Arabidopsis thaliana: one gene and its partner. The protein of the gene in region 1 interacts with the protein of each later gene in a pairwise test. Each region holds a gene or a part of one and is shown on either strand. Other genes may lie near its edges.

What was found.
Region 2: the proteins of AT5G56980 (region 1) and AT1G52550 interact in a protein complementation assay, tested with the Arabidopsis thaliana proteins (one large-scale study listed by BioGRID).

What each region holds. Positions count from the first base shown.
Region 1 is NC_003076.8:23,042,458-23,059,890, forward strand, and holds AT5G56980 (cotton fiber protein), read right to left. Parts: upstream 15,286-17,433; 5' UTR 15,257-15,285; coding exon 14,117-15,256; coding exon of another isoform or gene 14,019-14,116; 3' UTR 13,623-14,018; downstream 1-13,622. Other genes in the region: CKX3 (cytokinin oxidase 3), read right to left, coding at 2,487-2,790, 2,885-3,153, 3,255-3,515, 3,601-3,728, 5,179-5,788; AT5G56985 (uncharacterized protein), read left to right, coding at 14,019-14,447.
Region 2 is NC_003070.9:19,572,226-19,588,972, reverse strand, and holds AT1G52550 (uncharacterized protein), read left to right. Parts: upstream 1-14,913; 5' UTR 14,914-14,973; coding exon 14,974-15,217; intron 15,218-15,636; coding exon 15,637-15,788; 3' UTR 15,789-16,218; downstream 16,219-16,747. Other genes in the region: RBL5 (RHOMBOID-like protein 5), read right to left, coding at 15-87, 230-489, 554-723, 799-959, 1,071-1,336; PLDALPHA2 (phospholipase D alpha 2), read left to right, coding at 2,422-2,517, 2,620-4,522, 4,600-5,033; AT1G52565 (cytochrome P450 family protein), read left to right, coding at 8,462-8,609, 8,671-8,912; AT1G52560 (HSP20-like chaperones superfamily protein), read left to right, coding at 13,207-13,486, 13,772-14,190.

The DNA of each region.
Region 1 (17,433 bases):
GATTCAGACGGGACTGTTATTCGGAATTTACTATTTCAATGTTAATTTTAATTTATCCGGGAAGGAGATATGTCCAGCAAAAATCAAATCTTGGTTTGGAACAAAAAAACACGATATGAGTCATATGACGACTAGACTATTATATATAATTTATTTATTTTATTGTTATAACTTCAAACAGTGAAAAGAAAAAAAAAATGTAACAAGTTAGGCATCTCGACTCCTTATGATGAAGAAAACATCAAGAAATTTCTGATCTATTTTCTTCGTACATAAGGAAATAATTTTATCTTTCAAAAATAAATTGAAAATGAAAACATTGATTAGTATGTGACTCAACAAGAAAAAAACGTATTCGTACGTACGTGTGGACCATAACGATTAGAAATTAATCGGGAGCAAGTAATTGGATTTATATTTATTGTTATACATATCATTTTTGTTTTATGTTTATTTTTTTGGCGTGTGGTACCATATCATTTGCGATTTTATCGATTAATCATGTGTACATAAGGAAAAAACAGTAACTGGTGGAACGCTTTCACAACCACATTTGATTGAACGAATAATATTCGATCGTACAAATTTAAGAGTTTGCCCGACCACAAAATGCTTTGAAGCAAGTTGTATCAATTAATTGAAAGCATTTCTCTTGACGAGTAAATTAAATGCATGTTTCTTTCGTCATATGACGACAAGACTCGTTAAATCTCATGCACTTGGACTTTGAGACAACAATGTGAACCAAAATTAATGATATTTTTTCCTAAAAATAGTTTTCATGATAATTTTCTTAATTAATAATTATAATTTTGTTTTGCTTAATATTCGACCTGCATCTGCATGTAGTCTCGTAAATTAATGTTAGTGATCTCTCTACGTATAAACATAATAATGACATCGCGCATTAGACCGTTCGACGGTAGCGGTGTTCTTATTTTTTCTTAGTCGATTTAAGAACATTCAGCATTATAAATTTATAATAAACTATATCTAATTTATTATAACATAAAAAATGAAATAAGACGTTTTTTGTATTTAAATTCTTGCATGAGAAAATCAGTTGGAAATATTAAGAACGGTCAACTCCTATTGACTATGAGTCAATGCCGCATTGCGGCAAAATTGCCACTTGCTTTGCTTTCTTTCGTTTTGCATTTCTGATAACGAACAGCGTGTCGGTTGTGTTCAAAAACAGCACGTAGTGGTAATATGAGGCCCAGAGTTCGACGATTAATATTTGGGCTGAACATTAGAGGCCTATGAACTGACATTTCCAAAATGATATCACATGAAAAATTGAAACATCTATTTCTAAACATCTTTCCTTTTTTTTTTCATCATCTCTAAACATCTTTCCTAAACAAACGAAGTAAGTAAAATCTTATTGAAATGTTTTTTCACCACACAAAAACAAAATTAGCTTTTTTTGTTATAATTTTCACATTTAATTTAATTTTAATTTATATTGATATTAAATAAATATAAAATGATACAAATAAATTTTGGGATGGTATTTTACACGAATATACAAAGGAATCTCATGATTATATTTTTAGTAATGATACAATGAGATTTTGCGTTATAAAATAATTGTTCCAACTTTTTCACATAATATACAGTTTAGATTACACTATTTAAATATTCGGTACTTAGACACTTTCTATTAAAAATTAGGTTGGAGATTCCTTCGGATCACAAAGCTAGCGGCTGCAACTTTCATCATATGCTTTCCACTTTTCACGACGTTTTTGTCGTTTTCTTGATTTTACTTTATTTAATGTAGTAGTTTATACGGGTTATATTAGTCAATATAATCAAGAATATGCACTAATGAATTCATTTTTGACATTAATGAAAAATATTCTAAAAATATACAAGTTATGTAAATGTGGATTAATCCCTTAATCTTAACACAAAACAATTGAGACAAAAAAAATCGATAATTATTAATCTTACCACAAAATATCAGATGTCTAGAAAATCAGAGTTTTTGAAAAAGAAATCTGATTCTAATCCAACCAATTATACGTGGACTGCGTTCGACCAAGATCTTCAAAGTACATAAAAATATATATTAAAAATTAAGCCAAAAATAAAAACAGAAAGGAGGCAAGAAGTGTGGATGTCTCCTTCTTTCCCGCAGACTGTAACAAAAAGGTTTGGGGACATTTCTTGGACATAATTATTCCCTATTTCTTTAATTAAATATATTATATATTTATAGATATGTCAACATTTTCTTCACAAAAAGATAGTTTTCACATTTAGACTTACTTTCAAATCTTATGATCATGTCCTTTACTTTCCTATCAATTTCCATTTTCTTAATAACATTATTCTTTAATTTCGTGTTCTTAATTATAGCCAAAAATCTCCAATTCACGTGAAATTGTGGTATATACTTTTCTGTCAAAAATTGATATAACAAAGAAAGGAATATTTACAAAGTGGTGAGAACGACTAACAATAGGATTAATTATCGTCTAACTCGAGTTTATTTTTTGAAATATATTTTGTCCCGGTGATAATATCATTTTGGGATCATATTTATATTTTCTCTCTACGAAAATATTCCACCTCGGACCAAAATGTCTAACCCATCCTTCTTGTGATGAATGATAAGGAAGATATTGTATAACCCCCATATTAGCATCCTCACAAAACTTCAGTATTTCCATGTTTTCTTGATCAAAAGCCTCCCAATTGTCAAAACCCGCGGATCTTAAAAACCCTACCGCATAAAATACATCTTCCTCGGGTATAGCGGCAGACATCCGATCATTCCACCTAAAAACGCCGCATAAAATTAGCTTGTAAGAATATTTCGGATTCCAAAACGAAAATGTAGATAGTAAATTTTGCAATATCGAGTTAAACTTACTTGTTGCGATTCATAGGATAAACAAGAACAGGACCGCTAGTGATGTTATTTCTTAGGATAATACCCTTAAAAACACCATCATCAAATTTGGAGATTTGAGTTTTTGGTACGAAGAGATTAAGCCATGGATGTGGAACATCCCATTGGCCTTTGGATTTCAGGTTTAGCTCTCCGGTTCGAACTCGGTTTAGGAAATCCATATACGTCACATCTTTCTCGTACATAAACCCTCTTACATGGTTTAAACTATCGCTTAACTCCTCCATTTCCTGCATAAGTTAAATAACTAAAGTAAATTAATATAATTGAATAATGCATAAAGATCTCCCAATTATACATGTATGATTTATGATTGTATGTATGTACGGACCTCGTTGACTGTGTATTGAGAAGTTTCGTCGTAATACTTGACGACTTCAAGGCAGTAGATGACACGATGTCGTTTGACCATTGAGGCGATCCTCAAGTGATCGGACGGTGGATAATACGTGGATCTCCAGTTATCCGGTGGGCCATGGTCCACCATAATGGAACCTTCTAAGAAATCTACACCGTCCGTTTTCGATATCACTCGTTCTTGATCTCTTGTGAATTCGGAGAAATCTATGTATAGAAACCTTAACCACTTGGCCTACAAAAATCCAAAAATGCATATATGTTCATTCATAAATTTCATAGAATTTTCTGTAGTTGCATAATTTACAAATTTAACATACCCTTTTCGGAGCTACTTCAAGTTTAATTCTGGCTCTTGTTATAATGCCGAATTGACCCAAACCTCCTAACACCGCGAAGAAAAGATCCGAGTTCATGTCCTTGGAACAAGTTGCAATCTCTCCTTTTCCTATAAAATAAAATTTGACCCCATTAGGAAAAGTTTAGTAAGTAAACTATTTCAACAAACTTGGACCGTTATGTAAGAATATACAAAGACTAACACAATTAATTGATACAACAATGCAACGAGTTTGAAATAAAACTATTCTCTTCTGTACTTGTTTTGAGCCTAGAGTGCTAAAGTCGGTATCATTAAATTATGTTTATCTCCTAACCAAAAAATGGAACTTGAAAGTCTTCGTAATCTAACTACACTTGAGACCAACAGTGTAATGTATATGGATGCATATGTGGACATAATGGATACAGCTATAATAAGAAAATTGACTGTTACTTAATCCATTACACCTGGTTAGGACCAAACGTTATGAACTTTTGAGTTTTGTCCTTACGCCACAAGAAACCTCGTGTAAAATCATGGGCGTGGGACCATTTTTTTTTTGGTTGTTTTTTTTTAGTCTATGAATGGAGGCAGCGGACAAAGCGGTCTAATTTATCTGCGGTTTAGTCCATTTCATTTTTGAGGCGGACAATAAACCGTTGCGCACCATGTTTATTTGTATGTAAAAACGGTATGGAATTGGTCCGCTGCGGTTTTCTTCTATTTTTTTTACCCCAAACCACTGCGGAATATAATTGATGAATGGTAAATAAAAAACGGTCTGATCTATTGACGGTTGTGTCCGCCCCAACCGCCGTAACCATTCAAACCCTTAATTGTCTGTTTGTTCACCGGGTTATATGAACAGTTTTATAATATATGACCATGTAAATTTCGCAGAAATTTGACTTCGAATCCACGAAATTTGCATAATTTGAGTAAGAAATATAGAACATAATTATTCAAAAAAAAAAGTTTAGTTGGTTAAACGTGTAATATACTAATGTGTTACTAAATAAATCGCGTTTTAACAAAACTATATACTATTTTTTTTAATAAACTAACAAAACTACACGTAATGTATACTACCAAAATTTCTTTGTTTCACGATTTTAATGATGAAATAATCTGTTGTTAAAACACCAAGAATATTGATTAATCTTCTATTGCTAGATCGACCTTTGCATTAATATCAAGTTTATAATCTTAGACCAACCACCAATTTTGCTTATCAAAAAATAAAAAAACCAATATTTTTTTAATGCGTCTACGTTTACAACCACCTATTTTTACCTAGTCCGTATCTTCTTTCTAATCTTAAGACCAAAAAAGGTGATTAGATTGATGTGTGAAAAGAAGAAAAGCTATCAACAAGTTCGAGAAATAAATAAACAGAGACAAACAATACAAACAAACAATAGCATAACCAAAAATGGCCGCGCAGATCTAAAATGAAAAAGACGAAAAAACTTCGAAAAACGTACGAAGTTCTTTGTTGTCTATCAGAAACGTACGAAGTTAAAATCACTATTACTGTTTTTTTTAATCTCTGTGTGAAAAAGATCGTGGTACGTACCAGTAATAACATCCATCTCTAGAACATTAGTGATCTGTGGACCGTACCGAAACGTTTGTCCACTAATTCCGCCGTTTGATAACGTCCCACCGACTGTTAAATACAAATAATCCGTCCAAGAAACCGGCGTTAACCCTAACTCCAAAGTTTTATTCAACACCTCAATCCATAGCCACGCAGCGTCCACGTCAACATATAAACAGGTCCTAGACACCTTGATACCTCGATCCCGGTTTACCATGGACCGCATGTTGACCACAACTCCGTCTTTAGCCGAGGCTTGGCCACGGTGGCTGTGTCCGTGACCACGAGCGGCTAAAGGAAAAGACAGTTGAGAGTCAAAAGAGAGTTTTATGAGATCTGTGATGTCTTCAACGGAGGAAGGGATTAAGACGGCGGAAGGGAAGATTTTGGTGACGTGGCCGAAATCTGTGGCGGCTGATTCGACGGAGGAGGAGGAGGAGGTGAGTTTTCCGGCGAATTCGTTGTGTGAAAGGATATTCCATGGTTGTGGTGATGTGTTGGTTGTGATCGGAGTTGAGAGAGTAATGATGATTACTATTGTTATTGCTATAAGACGAACTTGTGAACGAAGATTATAACTCGCCATTTTTTTTGAGAAATAAGTCTTTTTATTTTATGAATAGCTTGATTCTTATCAATGAAGAGTAGTAGCTGTATATATATAGACACGCATGCAGACACATGTATTGTACGGATTTTTTGTTTTTTGTTTGTGTAAAAAAAAATGAAAAATCAGTGAGCAAGCTAGTATCTTCTCTGTATATAACTAGTAACTACTAATTATTGAAGAGTTTAGATTATTTGAAACAAATTATTTTGTTTTAACTAAATTTTATTTTCTGTATATTCCTATAATAAAAAAATTCAGTTGACCCGAGTAAAGTAGATAGCTGATATAATAATTATACAATTCCGTATTTAAAAGAGTATGTATGATATAAGTTCTGTATGACACGATACGCGTTCATGTTTTTGTTAATTTATTACAAAAATTTACAATGAATGATCAAAGTCACGTGAGAATCTAATTAGCAAACCACTGGTTTCAAACTTTCAATAGACCACAAAAGCAATAGTTGTAACTGTCTGAACACGCACGGTGTCGCTCACTAGTTAAATGGTTCTGCATAAATATTCCACGGTCCATTTTGTACATTACTACATTAATAGTTTCTGTAGTATTGTAGTAATTTCTCATATTGTGACTCAAAGAGGTTTTGCAGTTGAGGTTAAGCAAAAAAAAATGTAGCTTCTTTTGATATTCAGATTATGCAGTTTGGATCCTATGAATAGATATCCATGTTAATGTTTCACAAACTATATAGAGTAATCAAATGTATATAAGTCTATCAATATTATAGATGAAACTAATTAATTGATTAACTGATATAATAGCTAAAACTAACATAATGTTGTAATGTATCATCATTCCCACCACCACCATAATCATCACTGTAACCGTGATTAGTTGTGAAATAGCAAAAAAAAAAAATGAGCATGTACCATAATCATCATGGGGATTGGAGATTGGCCTTAGATCACCATATACGATATTTCCCCACGGACAATAAATCTTGACCCTTGGATTGATCACACTTATATTAGAACTTGGCTAGGTTTTTTGTGAGAGTTAAACTTGACTCGAATTCTTCCATCTGCATGTAAATAAGAGTAAATGATGTTTTTAAAATAATAACAAGAAGAAATTTGAGTTTACAATTTTTTAAATAATTTCTGGGTTTATCTAATCAAAAACTTAATACACATATAGTATGTAAACTTCAACAACATCAGCTAGTTTTATTTTCTTCTTCCTACCTGTTGAATATATTTTACGATCTTGTTGTAAACAATCGGACCTATAATACTTTACATATATTAATGTTCTTTTTGAAGAATATTTCTCATTAATATCCCTACTAGATGATGTTTCCTTGTCACAATTAGGTCATCATCAAAAGAATCTACAAGATCTGCTTCTTCTGAGGTCTGAATAATTTATTTAATTTCCTTCCTCGCGACTATCGAAAAGTGCCGATAATTCTAATAAATTAACAATCGTAGGCCAAACTTTGTAGATTCGTAATTAATCATTGTGCCGTAAATAAACGATAAAAAGCAAGACATGGAATATCCTCAAGATTTTGTTCTGTTTGCTTCTTTTGCCACATGTTAACTTGTTGTCGCTGCAATTTTTTTTTATCTTTTACTAATGAATTGAACTTAAGCAATTATAAAAAAAAAACACTCCAATTCCATTTGCTATAACAAAAATTAGAATTTAGACAGAATATTATTAAGCAACTGGAATTTAACTCGTGGTATACCACAGGGCAAATATTTTATTTTTATAAATAATATTATTAAATTTTAAGATTTTAGTTTAATATTAAAATTATATAATTTATATTAATATTATAATTAAAAAATTTGGTGATGATAAAATAATAAAATAAATATTGAATCTGTGTTTCTAAAACAGTCCTGCTATATTTCATATCAATCCAAATCCGTCATGCTATATTTTTCGTCTCATGATATTTTTTTTTTTATAAGTTTAAATATTAGTTGTGGAATTAATTTTGATTATGATTTTATACCGAAAAAGTTATGGACTATTAATTCTATGGAATATTCAAACCAAAATAAAGAATGTTTTTAGGTGCACATATAATTGGGTTTGCTCATTTTCCGGGATCGTAAATGTATTTTTTGGTTTGTTTCACATTTGTTTTAATTTATTGCCGAAATTTAATACAAATAATTCAAATAGTTCAAATTTTGGTTGTTTTAAGATTTAGTAAATATTGTAGGTAAAATAAGGAAAAGTTAAATTATTGTGTTTTGCGTGACATATGGGATTGCCATATATTTAGAATCTTTTTGGTTTGTTACACAATTAATTGTCGTATAAAAATTCAAACCATTAATTAAAAAAAATCAAATAATTTAAATCCATTGGCAGCCATTGTAAATAAGTTCTAACTTTAAGATTTATTTCATAAAATGGATATAAAAATGTATATGTAGATCCTACAAATAAATCTATTATCTAACTATAAAAATTCACGTCCAAAAAAATACATCATAGCCAGGCCTGATCATAGGTATAAAATTAGGGGGATTTAGCAATTCTAAAATTAATCTATTATCTAACAAAATTGGATATTTATAATTTAACAAAAAAAAAAAAAAAAAAAAATTGATATTCATAAACTACTATTATAGAAAATAATTTATTCTTTTGCCAAATCCTTCTTTCTGATTGAATGAATAATTTTATGGATTAAATGTTGTATGTATAAGATAAACAATAAGACGTTGTACCCGGACAGCAAAACCGTGCTAAACGCACGTGTAGTTGTCATTTTCCCATCTTTATAACTTCATGTCGCGAAAAATAATAATTTAAGAACGATAACTTGAGAAAATAGAGTATAGACTATGAACAAAACGACCATTGATTAACGGTGCTAAACAAAGTATTTATAAATAAAAATGACATTCATTATGACCCCCCAATAAGGTGGCCCCGTAATTGGAACTTGACAATTTAGAAGATCTTCACTCGATTGTTTTTCTTTTTATTGTCAGCGACCTTTACTTCAGTTTTATTATCTTAAAACAAACTAAAGATTTGCCCAAAAAAAAAAAACTAAAGATAAAAAGACAAATCATTAAAATTTGGTTGAGCTGTATACGTTTGTAATAATGGAACTGGATTGGAGAGAAAATCAAAAAGAAGGAATTAGTTTACATGTATATGTATAAATGTTTATTTTTTCTTTTAAATATAATTTAATATTAGATTCAAAAGAAAAAAGGAATTAGGGTAATGATTTCAATTCGTGGGCACATTTTGTTATATTCGTATCTCTTTGTATTTAATTAAATAAGTACTACTATTTGAGTTGTCTTAAACCTTTATTTGGCCATGCATCATCATGCTCCATATATGTTCCCTTCGTTTATATTATTATCCATTCATCATTATAAGATTCAAGACGCATGTGCGCCGCACCTCATAAGTAATGTACTTTTCTTGATAAATGGGTTGGCGAAAGATATGGATTCTCATAATTGGCAAATTTTATTGCGATCTAAGTAAATTTAGAGCTTCCTTTAGGAGGTTTAACTTCTTTCGGGCTTGAGCAAAAAAAATCATTTTAACTAGTAGTATTGGTTGTGAAACTTTTGGGTCTGATATATAATTAAGAACTTAGCGTGTGCAAGAAATTAATTTATCGAAATATTAATTAACCAAAAACTTGTTATTATAATAAAAAGATATATGTATTGTGTAGCTATAGAGACACTCTATACAATTACAAGAGACACATATATAGACGATGCATGTTTTCACGTGAGTGAAAATTTCTAGATAAATTGATTGCTGTATGCGTCGTATTATAACATCATTCATTGAATCTTTTGAAATTCGTATCATCTTTAGTATTAATAAGTACTTGCATTAGTAATTTTGAAAGCCAGATTTAGATTAGAGTTTAAGTGGGAGTGGAACTAAGCAACTGTATGATATGGCTTACGTCACATATTATTGAATGTATGATATATATATACCAGTGTATAGATAGGATCAAAAACATTATAAGATTTTTAAATAAACCCAACTAAAGATGTTTAAACTTTCTACTTAGCTTATTTACCAAATTACGTGCCAAATACCAAAGTATAGAAACAAGTCATTCCGACAACCACGTTTTCAAAATTAAGTACAACAGCAGATGGTCACAGCCGACCAAGTTGACGACAATACATACAAAAGCAAGTATTGAAACACGTAACAAAATGTTATACGTATCTCAGAAAATAAAGGTATACGCATATACATTTTTAGTTTTAGATAGAGAAACGTAACTACTAAACGGAGAGTTAAAAATTCAAAGTGATGTAGAAGTATGCATGGTAGCGATCTAAAAATTCACAACATTTTATATTTTATTATTTTAGTAACTGATATTTCATTAATATAGACATAATATCATCAAGATACAAAACTGAAGATATATGGTTCATGCTAGAGGGAGCATGTGATCTACATATTGGTGAAAGCCATTAATTGATTTGAATTTCTTATATGGTGAGAGTAAAATTAAAATCTATATATTACTAGTTTACTAGTTTCAAGAAACAAGAAGAAACTGAGTTGTGAAGTAACATACTTAAAATGTGATGTGGATGTGGTAATTTAGTCCATACGATTATAATAATTTGGTTTGGTAATAAAAGGAAAAAGGAAAGTGAAAGTGGGGACTAAGGAGATTCATGCAAATCTTCGTAGGGATTCTAAGTATAGTGGACCACTTCTTCGTTGTACATAGTTTTCATTGAAATGGTTTATAGCAAAATATCCATTTAAAAGTCGAAATATCTATTAACGTACTAATATTATTATATAATATTCAGATATCTATATTTATTTTAAAATGATAAACGTTTGTTCGAACATATTCTTATGTTGTATACGCTAATTTGGATGTGATTTGATAAAACTGAAGATACATAATTATTGTTCGAACAATTAGTGTGGTTGATGAAATGGTTGGTAGAAAACTAATTGGAAAAGTAGCGATGGTTTAAGATTTACTCTCTACTAACTCTAAATCGTCAATATCTCAAGCAAAATGTTGCTACTGTTTCGGATCGCTTGATCTCTGATTTCAAAGCCCTGAAAATTATGGTTAACTTGGCTAAACAATTGTTTCTGAATCATTACATACAACTCTTTATTAACAAAAAAAACAAACAAATATCGGACTAAAACCATTGACTCTAACGATAGTTCTCACGGAAAAGTATTGCATATCTCAGTCAACGAATAAAGAATACTTAACGATCATATATATAACATGGGGTGTCTAAATCTGAAATGTTTCGCGTACATCCACGAAGAAAATACATACATGACACATTACACATACAACAAATGACATATATGTCTTTGTATACGGATACAATCAAACAGTCATGGACATGATAAAGACGAGACACGTAAGACATGCTTTATACGATAGTGAAATCTGTCGGAAGAGAATGTGACATTAATTAGACATTGGCAGGATCCTACAACAAGATCAACTCGATCTTCGACCAAATCAAAGTGTCTTAGAGATAAAACAGGTAAGATTTTGAAGAAAATGGTTATAAAGGAATCTTAAATGTGGGTCCAAGATCTTGGAAATTTCCTCACAGCTCTTTTCTATGAAACAAAGATTAATCACTTGGATTCTCTGCCATTATTCATATCTTTCGATCTCTCTTTTTTGTTTTCTAATCTTTTGACGGACGTGATTGATTTGGTACGATAAACTTTCTCACACTCTTATCGTAAAAAACAATAAAATGTCTAATCTTGAAATTTGAAAAAATTATAAATTTAACTTTGATAAGTTCAATCGGTTAATTATTTTTTCTTTGGGTTTTATCGTCATTTGAGAGACATATGCCATCAATCAAAACATATGCTTTAGAAACTGTAAAATAAAATTCAAATCAAAAGCTAAGTTTCTAAGATATGAAAAGAATGAAAAGTAAGCGTAATGGCTAAGTTTATTTTTATCAGTTATGCTTGAACTTTAAATTCGGGTCATTTTTGTTCTTTAATTTGGTTTGTTTTGTCAAACAAGAATAGATGCTTTGATACAGTGACGTATTATCTTTTTAGAGTTCTCTAAAGTCAAGTGGGAGAGTGTACGTAATCCGGCCTATGAATGTCCGATCGAATATTATCTTCTCAGCTTTCCAATGTGTAGCCCCACAAAATCTAACAAACATCGAGAACCGGGAATATGACGTAACCGGACATCCCGAGTCCCGACATTTTCGTACCGGTTTTTGGTTTTATTCCTGGTACAGTTTGTATTGTCCCCAAGCGATCCTTTCCTGTCCTCTTTCATATAAAAACAACCGTATTTAGGGTTGAAAGGCTTAAAAAGTGTACGTAAGTTAAATGGGCTATGGCCTAGATTTCTGTAACTCTCTATGTTGTGATTGGGCCTTCTACTATTAGCCCGTTACTTTGATATCAGTATCTAGAAAGTTATGATTATGCCGTTCGAAAAATAAAGAAAGGAATTATATTAAGTAGATATGTCTGAGCCCGGGTTCGAACCGGGGACCTCTAGTGTGTGAGACTAGCGTGATAACCGACTACACCACCCAGACTTTGATACTTAGTTTAACAAGAGAAGTATATTGATTCGGTCATTTAACAAATTGTTTTCATTTTCTCATCCAAGTTGAAACTTGAAAAAAGAATCGAGGAAAATAACAATGGATAAACCTTAAATGATGGTAGTAGCAACAACAACGGAAGAAGACATTAATCTTTTTTTTTTAAAGTAATTTGTAAGTTTTATTCTTTTTTGAAAGCATCATGAAGAAAATACTTGAGTGTTGGTTAGAGAGGAAACATATTTTTAAAATAGTAAGAAAGGAAATCGAAGTTGAATTGAAAGTTTGACATTGTTTTGTTAAACAGAAAAAAAACGTAACCTAAAGAGATAGGGATGAATGTGATGATTATGACGAGGATTAATTTAATCAGGAGATGACCGAAAAAGTCTTTTTCGAGCCACGAATAAAACATAAAAAATTTCAGGTCTGAATTTCGTGGCCAAGAATGGTTTGATGGATTTGATTCGGATCACTAAAATTCTAAAGTCTATATTACAACGCCTTATCTTACAAGTTTGGATTCGTTGAAATAATTCCAAGTCTATCACATAGTCTATGAAAATATAATAACGTATTACAAAAATGAAACTAGATGCATGATTAACAAAATTTCTTGAAAAAAAAATTCACTACTAAAACAAGTACTTCGACACGTAACTTATATTAAAACAAATAGAACTGATTGATGACATTGTTTTTATTGCGGTGTTTCCATAACGTTAAAAAACTTAAAAATGTGATTTCAAGTCGTGACTAGACCATATCAAATGTTTTGTTTTTGGTTTTAATTTTCTACTTAAACGTTGCTTGTTGTAATACTGAGTTATAAAAAATTGAAGTTTTGAATCAGTATCTGATCTTATCGGCTTTCAATTATCCATTCAGTGAACATTACGTTCGGTAATGGAATATACATATGTATTAAATGAATCATTTAATGTTCTTAAACTTAACCTTATACTTTAATGTTTATAAAAGTATAAACATGACAAGAGTGTTAATGATATTTTGCTTTTGCTTATAGAAAAAGCAAAGTAATTATAGCTCCCCTAAACATCATTTATAAAGCTTAAAATAATTTCTTGTTAAATAAATAGTTTCATTTTATTTGTATTGCTAAATACTAATTGTTGACATTTTGCAATCACATGTACATGCATAAATTGAATTATAATATTGGTCAGTCGTCCACTTATAATATTTTCATTAACAGTTTCACGTATAATCTAAAAGTATATATGATACAAAATAGGAAGTATATCTGTATATGTACAAAAATATTCAAATAGAACTCTTAATATAATCTGTATCATGGCACGAACAATTTTGCCTAGAAAATTTTAAATAAATAGAATAAACCAACCTGAAAATAGGGCAGAAAATAGGAAACGTGTACCAAACATCTCGAAAAAATTGCCAAGTGAATGAATGATCATTAGAATTAAGACGCAAAACAACGTCCTAGATCCAATTTTAACGCCACACATACTTCGCTAAGCAACTACGTTTTTTTCTTTCTTGTCTCTTTATGAACTAAACAATAACAAATTCACATTAACTAATTAATAAATTACTTAAATATCCTCAAACATACAGGGATATTATCGGTAATTCAGATAATGTCCACTCCTGTCTCCTACGTGAAAAACGGCGGCAAACAAAACCGCGAGCCAGACATCGGCGAGGAATACAATAATCACCGGCGACGGAGACGGCTTCAATGGGCCTTAAGCATCTCCTTGTACCTCAGAATCGAATCGAGTCTCTGTAATTTCAGCTGCTGTTTGAATTTGTTGATGAAATCTGAAGCTTTCGCGTCGACGCCATCTTCGCCGTCGCCGAAAGACGTCGATCTTTCGACTCTCGTTGTATCTGGTCTTCTCCGTTCGAGGGATTCCACCGTCTCCGGCGCTTCCGCATGGCTTCCTGCGAAACCAAAACCTGATTTCTCGCTAGCCGATTTTGTCATCTTCGTTAAAGCTTTCTTCTTCTTCTTCACCGGTTTTTTCGATTCCGATTTGCTTCGTACATGCTTGTGCTCCTCGTGAAGAACCGGATCCGGATTTTGTTTTTGATCCAAATCCGGGTCGGATCTGTAGAAGGAGGATAGCTTAATGGATTTGACCCGTTCTAAGATAGACGGAGCTCGAGTTAAACCGGGCGGGTTAATTTGACTGTTCACTCCGGTTCCGGTTGGTTGATCTTCTTCCGGGATTCTGAATTTTGAGATATCAATCGGGTCAACCCGACCCATCCGGGTCGGAATACTTTCGAATCGGGTCGGTTCTGTGTGATGAGCATAATCATTCTCCTCCGGGTTATACTGCTGGAATTTGAAGTATGACATGTTGATGGATTTGACCCGATCCAGAAGAGAAGGAGCTCGTTGTAACGGTGCCGGAGCCGGATCCGGGTGTAAATCTAGGTGGGAGTGGGAGTGGGAGTGAGGATCCGACCCGGTTACGTCGTGTGGGAACTTGAAATAAGACATGTTGATAGATTTGACCCGATCCAAAAGAGAAGGAGCACGTTGTAACGGAGCCGGATTTGGATCCGGGTAAACATGAAGATCCGACCCGATTATGTCGTGGTGAGCTGTCATCGAGAAAAGCTCAGTTTCTGGATGAGGAAATTTGTAGAGATGAAAATTGATGGACTTGACTCGGTCGATAATCGATGGAGCTCTAGCTAACGGAGCCGGAGCATGACCTGACCCGAATCCATCGTGATGCTGGTAATGTTTTCTTGAACCTGACCCGAGTCGAGAGGTTACGACGATTGTACCGATCATAAGATTAAGAAGGAGGAAAAGAGTCGTCGGAGTGAAAAAGCTCGCGACCGTCGTTAGTAACTCCATTTTTGGGTTGTGTTTTATGTTGGTTTTGTCGGAAGGAGAAATGAGCAAAAGGAGTATATTTATATTTGGATTTTGTTTTTTGTTTTTTTTGAGGTTTGCGTTTATTTATTTATTTTACTTCTTTTGTAAACTTTTTGACTGTTATTTATTTGGTCATTTGAAAATGGTTTTTTGTTTTGATTATGGAAACGTCGAAAGTATAGAGTTAATGTGTTCACATGAGACGCACGTGAATTTCTCTTTTCTTCTATTCATATTTCGTCCATATTATTAAATTTAAGGAAGTGATATTTTTTAGTATTATTCTGTGTGGAGTATAAGTTTTCAAGAACAGCTAATTATTAATCAGACTAATTTTATTATAGGTAACAAACCAGTTACAATTGTATTGATGATGACTCCGTGAAATAAAACACTACACGTTAATGCAAACTTTCCATTATACATAAAAATACGTACACAGTTGGAAAAAAATAAAACACTACACGTTAATGCAAACTTTCCATTATACATAAAAATACGTACACAGTTAGATTTTTCTTTGGCATTCGGGACGTGTGGACCAAGTCATCTCATCTTTTCAGAAATTTCATTATTGGTTGATATCAATTGAATACGACCGAAATTCAAGATCCGAACAAGACTAATTACCTTAAGTTTTGGTCTTGGCACAAATAAATTCTAGATTTTATGGGCATAAAATCACTTCTATACGCATAAAATGAATTGTATACAGTTAATATAAAAGCATCTTTGAATGCGGTAGATTAGTAATAAGAAGCTACGGTATAAATGTAATGGATAAGAGCTGGACACAAGTGAAATAGAGATGCTCTGTCTTTGACTGGAGAAAGTTATGTGTAGGGCTCATCGTACTGTTAAATCATATAAAGTTCCAAAATTATTGTCTCGTGAGACACCCGACCCATCTTAACATAGTGTGTTTAGACCACTCATTTCAACACGTTTTTCTCTGTAAAGCTTACAAATTGTAAGTACTAACTCTATTATTTACACATGTTTTACGTGTATAATTCTTCTGGCTTGACTTTAGGGTTCTCTGGGCTGGTCTCAAATTAAATGATTCTTGAGCTAAGCTACTTCTACTTGTAATTTGTACTATAGTATGTAAATGGTTGTCCTTTTATGTTGGTTGAGTTGAGACAATATAATATATACTGATTTTTATATATTCAATAACGCAATGCAATTTGAAAAGAAAAAAAATCTCACCCGGTGATGGTAAACCACGTATGTAGTGACTAAAGTCTAAACATATAATTATAAAAACCGGTTGGCATGTTAATATACAAAATTATTGAGTAACTATTTCGACTAGGGTAGTGTTTAAATATTGATGAAATTATCTTAGATATTTTGAACATTAGAAATATGGATTTATCGTTGATGCTTTTTTATGTAGAAAGTGTAGGATATGAATGTGAAGAGGTAACTTAAGTTAAAATACAATGACTAAAATTAAAAATACAATGACTAAAAACTGACTTCTAAATTTGATTTTTCTACTTTGAAATTAAAATATTACAGAAGAGAACATTTACTCAAAATGTGGAGTCGACGACATCGCGTGGGGGTGCTACCTGCTACACCGACCTTTTACGGTTGACTTTGATTTCTTAAACACATAGTTTGAAAATATTACTATAAAAATTGGTCCACTCGTAGCTACACGTCTCTCATTTTATTATTATTATTATTATTATTAAAAGTTATTGCATTTGCATACTTGCATGTAACTGGCTAGTGGCTACACCTACACCCACGTGGGTCGCCATAGCAGCATTTACTATAACGACGGATAACGAACAAAATATATGGACTTTATATGATTCATTCAGAAATTTTCATTTCATAGACTGTGACTTTTTCTTTTATGCATTATGACCTTATGAGGATGCATGGTCCAGCTTGAGTTATCTCTTGTGCGAGAATGGGTTATATATGTAATATGTAGAGCTGGATTTATAACTTTTTCGGTTCAGTCGGAGTTCTATATAGAATTTGAGAAGAGTGTTTTTGAATTAGGCGAAAAGTCATTTCGTTTTTAGGTGAATTGATTCGATTTGTGTCAATTGAGGTCGGTTCGAATGCATGTATCATTGGATTTTATTTTTCCATTGATAGTGACTTAGCTACTACTAGCTAGTCTACTAGAA
Region 2 (16,747 bases), on another chromosome or scaffold:
CTGGCTACAAGCTGCTAATTGAAATCTCTGAATGGCATGCTCTGTATGGTATGTTCTCTAAGAAGCTTAGTGTATCCCGCAATGAATCTGCAGAAATTTCAAGGAAAATTTCAATTATTTACAGGTAAGGGATGAAACTTTTCACAACACTGAGGGTTTTGTTTATGTGTTGATGGAGAATTCGGCTACTTTTGAACAATGGTTCATTAAATCTCTTTCGTTAACTTACCCCGCAAGAAGGATAGCTAGAGATGTAAATCTGAAGATGTGTTGATAACACTTGTGTTTTGATTTCTTGTGTTTCATGTCATAACCAGGAGGAATGTATTTTGGGTTCACGTATCCGTACTGCGGACGGAGAAGAAGGACGAACCCGAGGAAGAAACCAGCTAGGAATCCTCCAAAATGAGCAGAATTGTCCACACGTGGTAAGAATCCGACGCTTAGATTCAGTACAATGATCAGGATTAATGTCATAAGTGCGGTGCACTACAAAAAAGTTTGAGATCAGCTTTCAATAATGCACCATATTGAAAATGAATAATCTTTTTACCTTATTTTCATAGATTGTCCAGTTTGTGATGAGCTCTGAGAGCATTGCACCGAGTAATCCGAACAAAGCACCAGATGCTCCGACTGATACCCGTTCTCCTTGGGAATCTGTTAAGCAAGACACCAGGCTTCCTCCAAGCCCGGAGATCACATACAAAGCTCCGATTCTCACTGTAACACCAAACTCTTAAATCAGATCACAGAAAATTCAGGAGACGGAAAATAGAGGGGTTTAAAGGGTCTTACTGAATCCAAATTCTTGTTCAAGGCGCATTCCGATACACATGAGGCTGATCATGTTAGCCATCAAGTGAAGGAAACCACCATGAAGCCATATGCAAGAGATGAGACGCCATCTCTCACCTTCCTCCACAAGTCTCCTTTCGAGAGCTCCGAGTTTTCTCAGCCTGAATCAACAACAAAGATGCATTCTGTAAGTATTGAACCAGTTTTTAATAGATTCCTTGTTCTAACCGGAGAGAAAAAAACCATTATGGAATCAAGAAATCCTTCCTTACGTGGGAATAGAAGGACCGAGTAGCATATTCTCCTTAATCGGTTGAAACGAAAGCCTTCCAAGGACATCAAATAAGAGACACTCATCTGATCTTGCAGGGCAATCGTTCACATACATGGTGGTAGCGAATGTGACGAAGTTGGCTGCTAAAATGAGAGGCACAAGCCACGCAACCCATGGCACGGGAATGGGCGGGCGAAAATGTGGTCGCGCTGGTGGTGGTGGTCCGTTTTCGATATCTGGTGGAATCGGCGGTCTCTTCCCCATTTCTGGAAAAGAGTATCACGCGCGTTTGCTCGTTAGCTTTTTGGTTGAGGTTTGAGGATTAGATTGGACCGATAAACTTGGGGAAAATTGTGAAGCTGAGAGAGAGATCCGGACTATCTTGTGGCCAAAGTAAGAGCTTTTACTTTCTCTCTCTCCCTCGCTCTCTCTCTTTTTTTAATTACATTAGGCAGTTATGTTCGGTAAATCTGTTTGGTACCAAACAGATTCCTATCAAAACCAGGTTGGAAATTAAAAAAAAAAAAACCATTGATATACCTGGAAATGTAATTCTCATGTGTATGTTGTCTGCAATAATTAAAATGCTTGCCAACATTAATCTATTTTTAGTTATTTTTTTCTGTGACCGATTTACAATCATTAAGGAATTTTTGAGAGCGATTTTAGTATCATCGTTAATCAGTAATCTCGGTCATTTGGACACGTAGCAATAGTCTTAAACTCAAAGCCAGTTTTTTGTTTTTTTTTGCTTCATCTTCTATTAATATCACAAAAACATTCAGCAGCTACACACACAAAGTAGCTTCCTTCTCGGATCAAACCTGAATTCTTCCAAACAAGCTTCTCTCTCAATCTCTGAGAAATTTTGCAGGTAGTTTCGTTTTCTCTCTTCTTCCTCTTCTCTGCAGATCTTTTTCCTTTTTAAAACGTTTATCTTGGAGATCACATATCGTCTGGTTTCTGGTATTCTTGTTGTGAAGCAAGTGGGTGTATAAAATGTTTATGAAACTCATAAATACTTTGGTTAAAGTTTAAACATTCGTTATATGATTGCAGTATGTAATTTCTCAGTGTTTTGCTTGCCTCTCAAACTGTTTCTGTGATTCGATTTTGTTTTGATGGAGATCAGTTACTTGAGATTTAGAGTTTCTTCTGTTTCCTCGGACACTGATTACGGTTAATGACTTTAGCTTGTAGATTCGTCTCTCCCTGCACATAAATTTACTTTACATTTTTAAACGAAAAATATTGTTTACAGGATCTGTAAAATGTGAATTTACGTATTTTGGTAATCTAATGTATGAGTTTTACTAATATTGTTATGATGTTACAGGCGGGAAGAAAAAATGGAAGAGTGTTTGTTACATGGAAGATTGCACGCGACAATCTACGAAGTTGATCATCTCCATGCTGAAGGAGGTAGATCAGGTTTCTTAGGATCGGTATTGTCTTTTGTCTCTCTCTCATTTATAAGTTGTTTAGAGATACAACAACAAAAGGTTTCCTTCAATCTGTCTTTAATGTTCTGTTTTTAATCTTTCCAGATACTAGCAAATGTAGAAGAAACAATCGGTGTTGGCAAAGGAGAAACTCAGCTTTACGCTACAATCGATCTTGAGAAAGCAAGAGTTGGAAGAACGAGGAAAATAACAAAGGAGCCAAAAAACCCAAAGTGGTTTGAGTCTTTTCATATTTACTGTGGTCACATGGCTAAACATGTTATTTTCACTGTTAAGGATGCTAATCCGATTGGCGCGACGTTGATCGGAAGAGGTTATATTCCTGTGGAAGATATTTTGCATGGAGAAGAAGTTGATAGATGGGTTGATATCTTAGATAATGAGAAAAACCCAATTGCTGGAGGATCAAAGATCCATGTGAAACTCCAATATTTCGGTGTTGAAAAGGATAAAAACTGGAATCGTGGTATCAAAAGTGCTAAGTTTCCAGGAGTTCCTTACACATTCTTCTCTCAGAGGAGAGGCTGCAAAGTTTCTTTGTATCAAGATGCTCATATCCCTGGAAACTTTGTCCCGAAAATCCCTCTTGCGGGAGGGAAAAACTACGAGCCACATCGATGTTGGGAGGATATTTTCGATGCAATTACTAATGCTAAACACTTGATTTACATTACTGGTTGGTCTGTTTACACTGAGATTTCTTTAGTGAGGGACTCGAGGAGGCCAAAACAAGGAGGAGATGTGACTGTTGGTGAGCTACTCAAGAAGAAAGCTAGTGAAGGTGTTAAGGTTATTTTGCTTGTTTGGGATGACAGAACATCAGTTGATTTGCTGAAAAAAGATGGACTTATGGCTACTCATGATGAGGAAACTGAGAATTTTTTCAGAGGAACCGACGTGAACTGTATTTTGTGTCCTCGTAACCCTGATGATGGTGGAAGCATTGTCCAAAACTTGCAAATCTCAACTATGTTCACTCATCACCAAAAGATTGTTGTTGTAGACAGTGAAATGCCGAGTGGAGGATCAAGATCCAGAAGAATAGTGAGTTTTGTTGGTGGTCTTGATCTTTGTGATGGAAGATATGACACTCCGTTTCACTCCTTGTTTAGAACGTTGGACACTGCCCATCACGATGACTTCCATCAACCGAATTTCACTGGCGCTGCGATAACCAAAGGTGGTCCTAGAGAGCCATGGCATGATATTCATTGTCGTCTTGAAGGACCTATTGCTTGGGATGTCTTGTATAATTTTGAGCAGAGATGGAGTAGACAAGGCGGTAAAGATATTTTGGTTAAAATGAGAGAACTCGGAGATATTATCATCCCGCCTTCTCCCGTTCTGTTCTCAGAGGATCATGACGTGTGGAATGTTCAGTTGTTTAGATCCATTGATGGTGGAGCAGCTGCTGGATTTCCTGACTCCCCTGAAGCTGCAGCGGAAGCAGGTCTTGTGAGTGGAAAAGATAATATAATTGATAGGAGTATTCAAGATGCTTACATTCACGCGATTAGACGAGCTAAAGACTTCATCTATATCGAAAACCAGTACTTCCTTGGAAGCTCTTTTGCTTGGAGCGCGGATGGAATCAAACCAGAGGAAATCAATGCTCTGCATCTGATTCCGAAGGAGCTATCTTTGAAGATTGTTAGCAAAATCAAAGCAGGAGAGAAGTTTAAGGTCTATGTTGTTGTTCCAATGTGGCCTGAAGGGATTCCTGAGAGTGGATCAGTCCAAGCTATATTAGATTGGCAGAAAAGAACAATGGAGATGATGTACAAAGATGTAATCAAGGCACTTAGAGAAAATGGACTTGAGGGAGAGGATCCGCGAGATTATCTGACATTCTTCTGCCTCGGTAACCGAGAGGTCAAGAAAGATGGAGAGTATGAGCCTTCAGAGAAACCTGAACCGGACACTGACTATATCCGAGCACAAGAAGCACGCCGCTTCATGATCTATGTTCACACTAAAATGATGATAGGTGAGTGTTTTATAACATTTACATAATTTATAACTTTTCAATACTAACCAAATGATTCAACATCAAAATTTTCGCAGTTGACGATGAGTACATTATAATCGGATCAGCAAATATCAACCAGAGGTCAATGGATGGTGCAAGAGACTCAGAGATAGCAATGGGAGGCTATCAACCATATCATCTCTCAACAAGACAACCAGCTCGAGGTCAAATCCATGGATTCCGCATGTCTTTATGGTATGAACATTTAGGAATGCTCGATGAAACATTCCTCGATCCATCGAGCCAAGAATGTATCCAGAAAGTCAACCGTGTTGCTGATAAGTATTGGGATCTTTACTCAAGTGAGTCACTTGAACATGATCTTCCTGGTCATCTACTTCGCTACCCGATCGGTATTGCTAGTGAAGGGAACATCACTGAGCTTCCCGGATGTGAATTCTTTCCCGACACAAAAGCTCGTATCCTCGGTGTCAAATCTGATTACATGCCTCCAATTCTTACAACCTAAGCTCAGTGGCAGTAATTATGGGTAATAAATAACATTTTATCCTCTTTCTTTTGCTGAATAAGTTACAAAACCATTAGCCCTATCCTATTTAGAGCCTAATAAGTTATTTTTTCTTGGTTTTGGTTTTTCATTCGGCTACTGACGATTCAGAAAGAAGAGAATATTTAGTAGTTGTTTCGTTTGTCCGTTTTGATACTTGTTTTGTTGCTAATTACTGTTAAACTCAATGAATTTATCTATTAATCATATTTTATGCTATGTGAAACTTGTAAGGGTGAAATAGATCGTTTTCCAAAAATATAAACTGAGATCATCATTAAAATATATAATGATTTTTTTATATATAAAAAACATTGTTGAGATCAACATCATGTATGAGTGAAACTTGGTAAGAACCATTGAACTTTGGAGAATAAATCCGTTCTGGTTTCTTGAGGAATCCTGATGAATAAACCTTGAAAACCCCGAAGGACAAGGATCGATCCCTAGCTCTATACCATCTTTCAACCTTGAGGACATTTCCTGTTATGGTGACTACAAGTTGTGTGGCACGAATGCTCCATGACTTACTTTGTAGACGAAGTCGTCTACCTATCCGAAAGAGTTCCACTCGAACACAAGATTGAAATGTTTGTTGTGGAGTCTCTCCACGAGGTATCTGAAGGCTCATACTCCCAAACATTTGGTTCCACGAGGTACCATCTTTCAATCTGAAGTTTGGGGGATTTGGTTCCACGAGGTATCTGAAGGCTCATACCCCCAAACATTTGAACATGCATATTAAAATTACGAAAATCATATTAATATTCATAGATATATCATATATGCATGTTCTGATGGGTTAGTCCGGTCTCGTTCTGACACAATCGGTTCAACTAAAATTGATTTACAATGTTTGGAGACTGTCAAATCTTGAAATGTTATGGATCAGTCTATCTCTTTGGTTAACCACTATATGCAAAAGGAACAAAGACAGGTTTAATGGATTTATTCGATCCTACTTGGCCCGTTTCCGGTAAGATGGGTACTATACATGTATCAGATTGGACCTCACCTGATTATGATTTTTTCCAAAAGCTCAGAAAAATAAATCCGATTTTGACATAACTGGATTAGGGAAGTCCACAAATTTTTGGCGTACCAGAAACATCACTAATCTTGGATAAGTGTGAACATATAAAAGGAAGAAATTTAGTTAACATGTGTGGTTGACGTTATTTAGTCCATCAAAGTCAAGCAACCATGTGACGATCTCTTTCTTCTTTACGTTCTATCAAAACTTTAAGACCTTAACTTCTTGTGATGTCTCTCTCTTAAGTAGTTTGTGTTTAAAATACAACTAGCCGTAAAATGATAGCTTCTTGAATCTATACGAATAATTTAATTTTGCAATTTATGTATCACAAATTATATACTATAATATACTATAAGTATATAATTTGTGATACATAAATTGCAAAATTAAATTATTCGTATAGAAAAACGACTAAAAGAAAAACTCTCATCGAAATTACAAACTCCTTTTTTGTTAACCGAGGAATCTCAAACCAAAACAAGACTAAACCTTGTAACTTTTTTTTTTTTTTTGTTAAAGAAATAGTATTAGAATCGTGATTTGAATTGCAGTGGGAAAACTCCAACTCCTCTAACGCGTTAGATACTTAGAATGAATCCTTCAACCACTAAAAAGTCTCGACCATCATGAGTTGGTTACAATTACAAAAATTTTATTTAACTCTAATTAATTCCAACAGTTTCTCCACAAATTACTTATATATAATCATTCATGTTGAAAGTTATGTAGAACAAGGAAACAAATATAGATAAGAAAGTCTTTTTTTTTGGGTAAAAGAAAGAGAAAGAGAAGTTGGTCTAGTCTTCTATATCACAGTCAAACAATTGAAGAAGTTTCGAAAGAGTTACATGTTGGCTTCTATAATTGGCTAGTTAGTACTCTTTTCAATCTCATGCAAAACATGTTCGTACCGTATTTGATTAGGTTTTTATGTACAAAACGCGGCAATATTAGGTTTTGAAACAAGACACGTGGCAAAAGCCCATGTTCACGTAAACACCAAGGTTCTGGATCATGTTGAATGATAGAGATTTGTGGAAGAGATTCATTGAACTCTTTAGAATCTCTCTCACTCAATGCCTTGTCCTTCTTATATTTCTCTTCATCACAATTTTTATCTCCCTGATTTTTAGTTATTTGTATTAAACGCGTAAACATGCAAACATATTTTTTTCAAAAAGAAAACAAAAACTTTCAAACATAAATAAATATAAATACTCTCCATAATTTACTACTAATATTATCTTGTATTGTTTATACAGCTGTGAATTTTTCATATTCCCCTTTGATTTTTTCAAAAATAGACAACAATCTGGCAATCATTCATAAGAAATGATTGAAAAGTAAAATTAAACCACGTGCATAAACCAATTTTTAATTTAATAGATACGTTCAAGTTCTGAATTAATATTTAGTTAAAGTTATTTCCTTACCTTTTAAAAGATAAACACAAATAATTTGCACCAAAGTATAGTATTTAACAACTATTAAGAAAGATAGTGCTTCTGCATTTTTTACTTTAATTTTTGTTTCTAAATAAGTGTGGTTAAAAGACCATAATTTGCAAAAAGCAATGGATGTTGTATGTATCACTCTTGTCCTAGCTTTCTTACCAATCTTTTAAACTATGATTGTCAACATGAAGCTTAGTAAATTTTTTGGAAGGAAAAATAATTAAATTAACTATGATTTTTTATTTTTTAAACAATTTTTTGGTAAAATTTCTACTCTTATCTCTACTACTTAAATGTATTGATCAATGAAAACAATTATATAATGTTTTAGTGCTATTCTAAGGTATTTCATATTTAATTATGGTGGGAAATTTGATCATATTTGTTGACAAAAGTTATAAAATATTTCTCTTTATCTTACTCTTATTCATAACAACTCTAGACACTGAATCTAGTTATAAATATGGTCAGAGACTAAAGACAGTCAAGATTCAACTATGAAAGAAGTTTTTTTTCCCAATTTCCACTTGATTTTTGAGCCTGTGACTTAAACCAAACACCAATCTTTTTACACACCAACTCCCTCTTTAACTTTTTCCAACAGAGTACAGCACACAAAATAACTTCCAACTTTTCTATTATTGTCAGAAAACATTTTTTGCTAATTTCTCACAAACTCATTTCTCAAATAAATAAAAAACTTTCTTCTTAAATTCTTATTGACAAGAGAGATCTCTCACCGTTCAACTTCAAACAGTACTCTCTTGTGGTACAAGTACGAAAAATCTCTCTGCAACATAACACATGCTTCTCTTTTTTTCAACACACACATATTCATCATTCATCAGAAACTTTCTCTTTCTCTCTTTCTCTTCTGAATCTTTTATCTTTCAAACACTATGACTTGTATACTAAGCTGTTCTCATGGCGTCGTGATCGCAACCGCCATGGTTTTCTCAAGCACTGCTCTGTTTCTTGCGATTTCCCGCCAATTTTCTGGAAATCAGACATCAGATCAACAAATCCTCCGTTCTTGTCTTTCTTCAGGTACCCTTTTCCGATCTTTCTTCTCCGATCATCCTCCGGCTAAGAATAATTTTTGATGCAGAGGAAAAGAAGAAACAGAGGAAGAATAAGAAGAAGAAAGTGAAATTTGCAGAGAATGTGAAAGAGACGAAAGGTAACGGTGAAGAGTATCGTAAGAAGAGTCTTCGGCGAATTGTACCGGAACAGATGATTAAACCTGAGAAAACCGGTTCGGTTTGTAGAAACGACATGCCTGCTAACCGGATTGCATTGTACAATGGGATTCTTAGAGACAGAGATCATCGAATTCAGTGCTCCTATTGACTTTTTTTCCTTTTCTTCTTTACCAGCAACTATGAAAATGTAGAAATGAAAAGAAAAGTAATTATAATTAATTATTGTAGATAATCACAATTAGCTTTTCGGATGATTCTCTGTATGTAATTTTAGGTGATTGACATGTGAAAAATACTAAATAGAGTTTTTAGCGACAAGAAAAGAGTAAGAAATTTAAAAGACTCTTTCTACATTTGATTATTATAACTTTTCTCCCACATGAAAAAACATATTTTTATATGTTTAAAAGGTTAAAAATCAGCGAAATTATGTTTTTAATCAAGATTAAGACTTAAGAAAAGAAAAAAAAATACTGTTATCAGAAAAATTAAATTAATGCTATCAAATTTGAGAATCTTTGTATAGAGATATGATTTTATGTTTGTGGAACCATCAAGATATTATAAAATTCTTGTTAAGAGTCCAAAATTCTAGTTATAACGTCGAAAACTTCACGATCAAGTGTTATCACTCTAAAGTCTTACCAAATACTGTTTTTTTGTCGTTTATAACATATAAAAATTTAATAAAAGTTTTACAATATTATTATGGCTTTTTTATATATCTAATCAATGTTTTGCATAAAGTGAAGAATAGTGTAAGCATGATTGTATATATTTCGAATATTCGACCAACGACTAGACAAGTAGACATGCACACATAATCAGTGATACAACTTTAGTCTTTAGCATAACATTTACCATATAAAAAGATTAGGGCTTCAACAGATAACACATGAGACATGTGAATGATCAATTGTTAGTAATTAGTATTCTTTACAAAATCGAGTGTTTCTTGTATATATTGAGGCAGAAAAATACAAGACTCCTGGACAAGAAGCCATATTTTGACCAATACCAATTTTTAACTCAAGTCTAGCCACATGTGGGGTTTGGTGAACCGGAACAAACCATAATGGGTCACTGTGTAGTCTGTAAACGAAACAAACCGGCGGTCCAAATTGCTAACCGCCAAAACCACGTGACGGTCCAATCGAAAATTATACGTTTCTTGTCTAATATTTTGACTAAATTATTGTAATTAACTATGCTAAATTTCAAAACTAATCGGCTTCATATTCATATATCACTGATTTTTTTAAGTTATGTATACCAAACTAAATAAAAATCGTTCACAGTGTTTTGGAAGTAATTTGGACAATCTTGTTCGAAACTTATTGACACAATCGGGAGAAATAATGTATTACTAATTAGCTATTTCTTTTTTTCTCACCAGAAGCTTACCTACTAACCGTAACCTAACTTACAATTAGTTTTTGAAGTATTTAATTTGGTTAAATGTAAAGGAGAATAAAACAAAAACACTGAGAGGGCACTTAAAAGCCAACAACGGTCCAAAGATGGATAAGGTCGGTCCAAAAGCTAATAATTCGACAATACTCTGGACACATGGGCTTTTTTGGTCGTAACCGGTCCCATTTCTGTTCTTAGAGAAAATCAGAAACGGTTTTTAAATAACAAAGTAGATTGTAGTTGCAAACCGAAAGCATGGTTCGTGCCTTTGCACTATTATTTTCATTTCATCCCTTTAATTAATAGCTTGTCATCAAAATGAAAGGCAAAACTTTTACTAATTTGTGTTATTTGTGAGCGTACAAATAGAGGATCCAAACCGGTTATATCTATATTTCAGTTCTGATAAATAAGATGAAAGAATAACTTTTCAATCGGCATGGAGGAATCTTTTGATCGCTTTGGAAGCAATCTTGATAGTTGGCGTTTTTGTTGTGACGGCTTGTTTATGGAAATGGGCTTTGACATGCGGGGTAATTGTAGTTGCTTGACACATAGCCTACTTGATTATGATTTTTGAATTTGTCATTCGTGGTCAGAGTCGGTCCAAAGACTAATCATGTTTAAAGCTCAACAAAATTTGATGTCCATTTACAACAAATAAAAATAGAAAATTGTTTTAATATTTTCGATTACCAAGGATCGAACCAATCACTTTCTACCTTCAAAGCACAGAAAACCAATAGATTATAAGACGTTTCATAAAATTTGATGTCTTTTAAAATATATATAAAATTTGCTGTCTAAAGCATCTATTTGCTGTTTACAAAAAAAAAAAAAAAAGCATCTATTTGCTGGGTTTTATGTTCCGGCCGGCCTTCAAGACACCGCAAGCTTGTGGATAGCGATGGTTTTCATCATCATGCTGTGGTTTATATTCATCTCAAAGTAGGCTTTGACATGCGGGGTAATTGTAGTTGCTTGACACATAGCCTACTTGATTATGATTTTTGAATTTGTCATTCGTGGTCAGAGTCGGTCCAAAGACTAATCATGTTTAAAGCTCAACAAAATTTGATGTCCATTTACAACAAATAAAAATAGAAAACTGTTTTAATATTTTCGATTACCAAGGATCGAACCAATCACTTTCTACCTTCAAAGCACAGAAAACCAATAGATTATAAGACGTTCCATAAAATTTGATGTCCTTTAAAATACATATAAAATTTGCTGTCTAAAGCATCTATTTGCTGTTTACAAAAAAAAAAAAAAAAAAAAGCATCTATTCGCTGGGTTTTATGTTCCGGCCGGCCTTCAAGACACCGCAAGCTTGTGGATGGCGATGGTTTTCATCATCATGCTGTGGTTTATATTCATCTCAAAGTAGGCTGCAAAAGAGCGGGAGAACGGTCTATTCCACTCCAAACTTAGTTACTTTATCGTATCCATACATAGAACTTTGAAGTATGCTTTTAACTATATGAACTAACTTATAATTTGAATTTACTACATAAACAATCAAAATATGGCTGAAACCAACAAATCAATAGATGCCGTTAGTTAAACCGTTAATGTAGCTGACTAGGATGCCACATGGATAGACTTTACAAAAACGAATCTAAACAACTTAAAAGACGTCGTATCTGTGACATCTACTGTCTCTTGAACTATTGTGTTCAAGGGACAGTAGATGTCACAGGTTCGATATGTTTAGATTCGTTTAGATTCAGTTTACTTCTAAGAAAAATATAATATTTTTTTTTAAAAACATATATTTCATCAAGCAAACCTGAAATAGCCAAAAAGATTTTTTTTTAAAAAGCCAAAATAAAAAAGGAAGAAAAAGGGTTCCATAACAAGAAAAGAGAAGAAAATTAAAAGGCTAGTGACTAAAGATACATTTTCATAATAAAAGAATAAAAGAATTTAAAAAATGTATATGAGCAAATCATAAGCAAAATATAAGTATTAAACAATATCAAATAGGTTTAAATTAATTTTATTACACAGAATAAAATAATTAGTAATCATCAATAATACTAAAAACATATAGTAGTACAAATAAAAACATAGTAGTACAAACTCACGGAGGAAACGGGTGTCTAACGTAATTAATTTTTCGATTCAAACCAATGATTCATCGCCTAAGATTTTTGTGCCGGTCTAGCGACACAACCCACATATTTTTTTCAAAGTTGATTTATAAAGTTCTATGAGTTGTAAAACATTATTACCTTAGCAAAGAGAGACCTGCGGAAGAATCTGGATGTTGTACAAATATTCAAATTTCCTATATTACCACCTCGTTTACAATTTATTAATGGTTATGATATATATGTTTGTGACTCAGTTGCTTGTTAAGTATGAACCGTCAATAATTAAAAAGTCATTTTAGTAGAAAAACAAAAAAAATGTATAATTGTATAACAAGTTAGCAACCCACATATGTTGCAGAGTTGATTTATAAAAAAAGATTGGGGACAGAGTTACCATTAGAAGTTTGGATCGAAACAATTGTTTTTTTTTGTTTTTGATAAAATATTGATCGACACAATTGTTTGACATTCATTTAATGTTCTTAACACAAAACCAAAATCCATATGACTATATTTATATTAATTATGTTGTTAGTTTTGTTGAAATAAGTTATCCAAAAACAAATTTCAAGAATAATTTGAAAGATTTTGGGTCTTTCTACTTTCTAGGAATTGCAAGGTCAAGGCGGTTGGTCTTGTGTCATGATTTTCTTCGTTTTAACTATTCAAAGAAAACAAATATTGATAATAAAATAACCTTGTTGTGATTATCTAGAAAAAGGGCTGTAGAAGAAACAAGAAGCATCTCTGTTTTATGTTCCCAAATGAACCAGAAACTCTTAGAAACTTCTAACACCTCTTAGAAACCAACCTTTTAGCATAAACCCTAATCCCATCTTTATAAACCAAACACTTCTTGCCTTTTTCTTGCAAACTCACAAAAAAGAAGACAAGAAGACAAAAATTAAGAAATTTACCGATTTGAAAACAATGGCTCTAGCTCGTCTGGCTTTGAGAAACCTTCAACAAAAACTGTCTCCTAGTTTGATGGGTCAATCTTGTGAAAGAGGTTTGGTCGGAAATCGACATAATCCAATGAAGCTAAACAGATTCATGGCTACTTCGGCTGGTGAACAAGAGGATAAGATGAACACAGAAGTGAGTGTGTCTGAGAAGAAATCTCCTCGACAGAATTTCCCCCGGAGACGTGGCCGAAAAAGCCTCTGGCGTAACACCGACGATCATGGCTACTTCACTCCCACCCTAAATGGTACGTTTGTCATTTTAGTTCATTATTGATATACCTATTTAGCAGAAAATTTCAATAGTGTCACAATAATAATATTTTCGAAATAAATTATATAAAAAAAATTCAACATTTAAGTGTAAAATATATCCCATAAAAGAAAAATTAAGAAGAAAATTTGAAATTCTAGAATCATAAAAATACATCAAATTTTAAATTTACATTTTCATTGCATTAAATCTCATGAAACATAATTAATGTAAACCTCTATTTTTGCTTGAATTGAATTTTTTCTTCTTCTTAAAACAGAGTTCTTTCCTCCGACTATAGGAAATACTCTGATACAAGCAACAGAGAATATGAACAGAATTTTCGACAACTTCAACGTGAATCCATTCCAACTAATGGGTCAAGTGAAAGAGCAAGACGACTGTTACAAGCTCAGATACGAGGTTCCAGGGCTAACCAAAGAAGACGTGAAGATCACGGTAAATGATGGAATCTTGACGATTAAAGGAGATCACAAGGCGGAGGAAGAGAAAGGCTCACCTGAGGAAGACGAGTACTGGTCTTCAAAGAGTTATGGTTACTACAACACGAGCTTATCGTTGCCTGATGATGCTAAGGTTGAGGACATTAAGGCGGAGCTCAAGAATGGTGTGCTTAATCTTGTGATTCCTAGGACGGAGAAGCCAAAGAAGAATGTTCAGGAGATTTCTGTTGAGTAGAAGAGATACGGTGTCGTTTTTGTGTTCTTTGATGGACTAAGCAAATTAATGTTGTACCTTTTTTATGTTTATGCGAATGGAATCAGTTATTAAGTTGCTAATTAACTTAGTTCATTTGCGCAAACAAAAGAAGCTAGAAAATACATTATAGACTAATTGAACAAGCAAAGAATGAACCAGTTTTGTGTTTGTAATGAGAATGGAATAAATTGTTATTCAGCATAGTTAATTTTCGCAAAAGAAAGAAGCCAAAATTAATTAAAAGAAGCAGCAAATGTTGTGTCCCTTTTATGTTTTCTATGCGAATGGCTCAATGGAGTAAATTGCTAATTCACGTCATGAACACAAAAATGTTGATATATTAAACAAGAAGTCCATTTTTGTACCTCATATCAAAATTTTATTTGTAAATTTTGTATTAATAATTGTGGATTTGCTATACTATACTATGAAATATTTTTCTTTATAGACAAGTTATGTTATACATTAAATTATTTATTTATTAATAAGTACAGTATTTTAGTGTATTGTCAGAGTTCAGTTTCTTTAAAGAAAACACAATATTTTTTTTTTTTGTCGTCAAGAAAACACAATATTTATGTTAAACAAAAATGCATGATATTTCAATAGTTTGTGGAAAATTATAGAAAATATTTCATTTTCCTTCTTTTAGTTTGGTATTAAGAAGGAAAAAACCAAAAACATTTTTTTGATAATGTATACATAAATTAAAATTAAAATAATGAGAAAACAAAACAAGGTCCAAAATACCTTGTGAAGAAAATGGCGACGGCGTTTGCCAACACGACTTCAAGCTCCAACCTTTACCTCCATCGCTGCCGTAAAAACCATCCTCTTCCATCTCCGTCGTTCTTTTCACCGTTCCGGTCGTCTCCACTTCCTTCTCAGACCCTTTTCCTCGTCCCCACTCCAAAACCTGTACGACGCATCGCGGTCGCTCCTCTCGGCCCTCCAACGCCGCCTAGTCCCGACCCACCTCCGCCTAAAAACACGACTGAGCTCACAAGTTCGTCTTTCCCTTCTTACCCTTAAAACTTCAATGTTTCAACTCTGAGTTCTGATTTTGTTTACTGCCAATTCTATTTTTCAATCTTTCCTAATTCGATGAAATTGCATTACGGAATTCGAATTAGGAGAATGAAGGTGGTTTAACTGCTATTGATTCGTAGATAAAGATGTTAATCTTAGTCCTCAAGATCGATTACTGTTCATTGCTAAAGTTTTGATCTTTGTGACAATTTATAGACTTTTACTCTTGTTAAGCATTAAGGATTTATAAATCTCCTCCTTTTACAACTTGTGAATGTCTTCCAAAAGTTCCACCATTTTCTTTTCCCTACAGGTTTAGTCATTGGTTGCAATACGAGAGCAATCTTCTTAACAATTTGGATTCATAGTTGTTGTTTGGTATCACATTTTGTGTAGGTCTTGTGGGAGTAGCGTCGATGATTCAAGACCGTGTAAAGATCTTTCTTTCAGTACTAATTTGGATCTCTCTCTTCTTTTGGGCTTCGGCTTTACAAGGAAGAGGCAGCAAAGGTAATGGTAAAGGGAAGAAGGGTTCACGCTTCAAATAGTATTAGTTAGATTGGTGTGGTGATGATGATGATGATTGATGAAAACTCCTCTACACGTTTGTGTATATATACAGAGGAAATATTCTTCCAAGTAAAGCAAATTTCTTGTCAGACTACAGTTTTATACTAGAAACTAGATTGTTCTCTTCTTACGATATCTCTAGCTTAGAGCTATAGAGATTACTCTACTGTGATGAAACTAAAGTAGTTTGCATTTAAGTCAAAATGCCAAATCAATATCATTGTTTATTGAAAGCTGTTTCAGATTGTAAATGACTAGATGTGTTTGGTGTGTGCTTGATTCAGCCAAACGGTAAACCGCACCGTTTCTTTGATTTGAATGTTTGTTGTATAAAATGGGCCTTTAGATATGTTATATAACTTGTTTGGGCTTCAACATACTCTTTTATTGGGCCTCTCTATATAATATAATATTTCCAAAGTTGTATTTAATTATTATTTGATTTATATTTAAAACAGTGGTTGTTTATTCATGATATGAAAAAAGAAATAACTGGATTTAGGTAAACCTTATTCAATACTGGGACAATGAATTAACCAGCTCATGATTAGTTGGACCTGTTTTGGTTAAAGGCTGGTAGTAAGTTTAGAAACAGAAATTTATGATAAGAGCCTAACATTTTGTTCTGACCACACTGAGTAATTTAACAATCTATCTAAATTAAGATTTTATGCTATGTTTAATTTATATTTGTTCTGATTATAGCAAATAAATTTCCATATCTAGAGATCTTCTTCATACACAATAAAAAAAACTAGTATTTGAACTTTTGTATGTATTAAAAATTGCAAGATTTTGTAAGTACAGATTCACCAAGGTGAGGTGTGTGATTAGGAAACTTTGATTAGTTGTCATGTGTCATCAACAGGCCATGAAAAGGAAATCTTTGAAATTCAAAAAACAATACCTTTTGATGAAATTATTACTATATAAATAC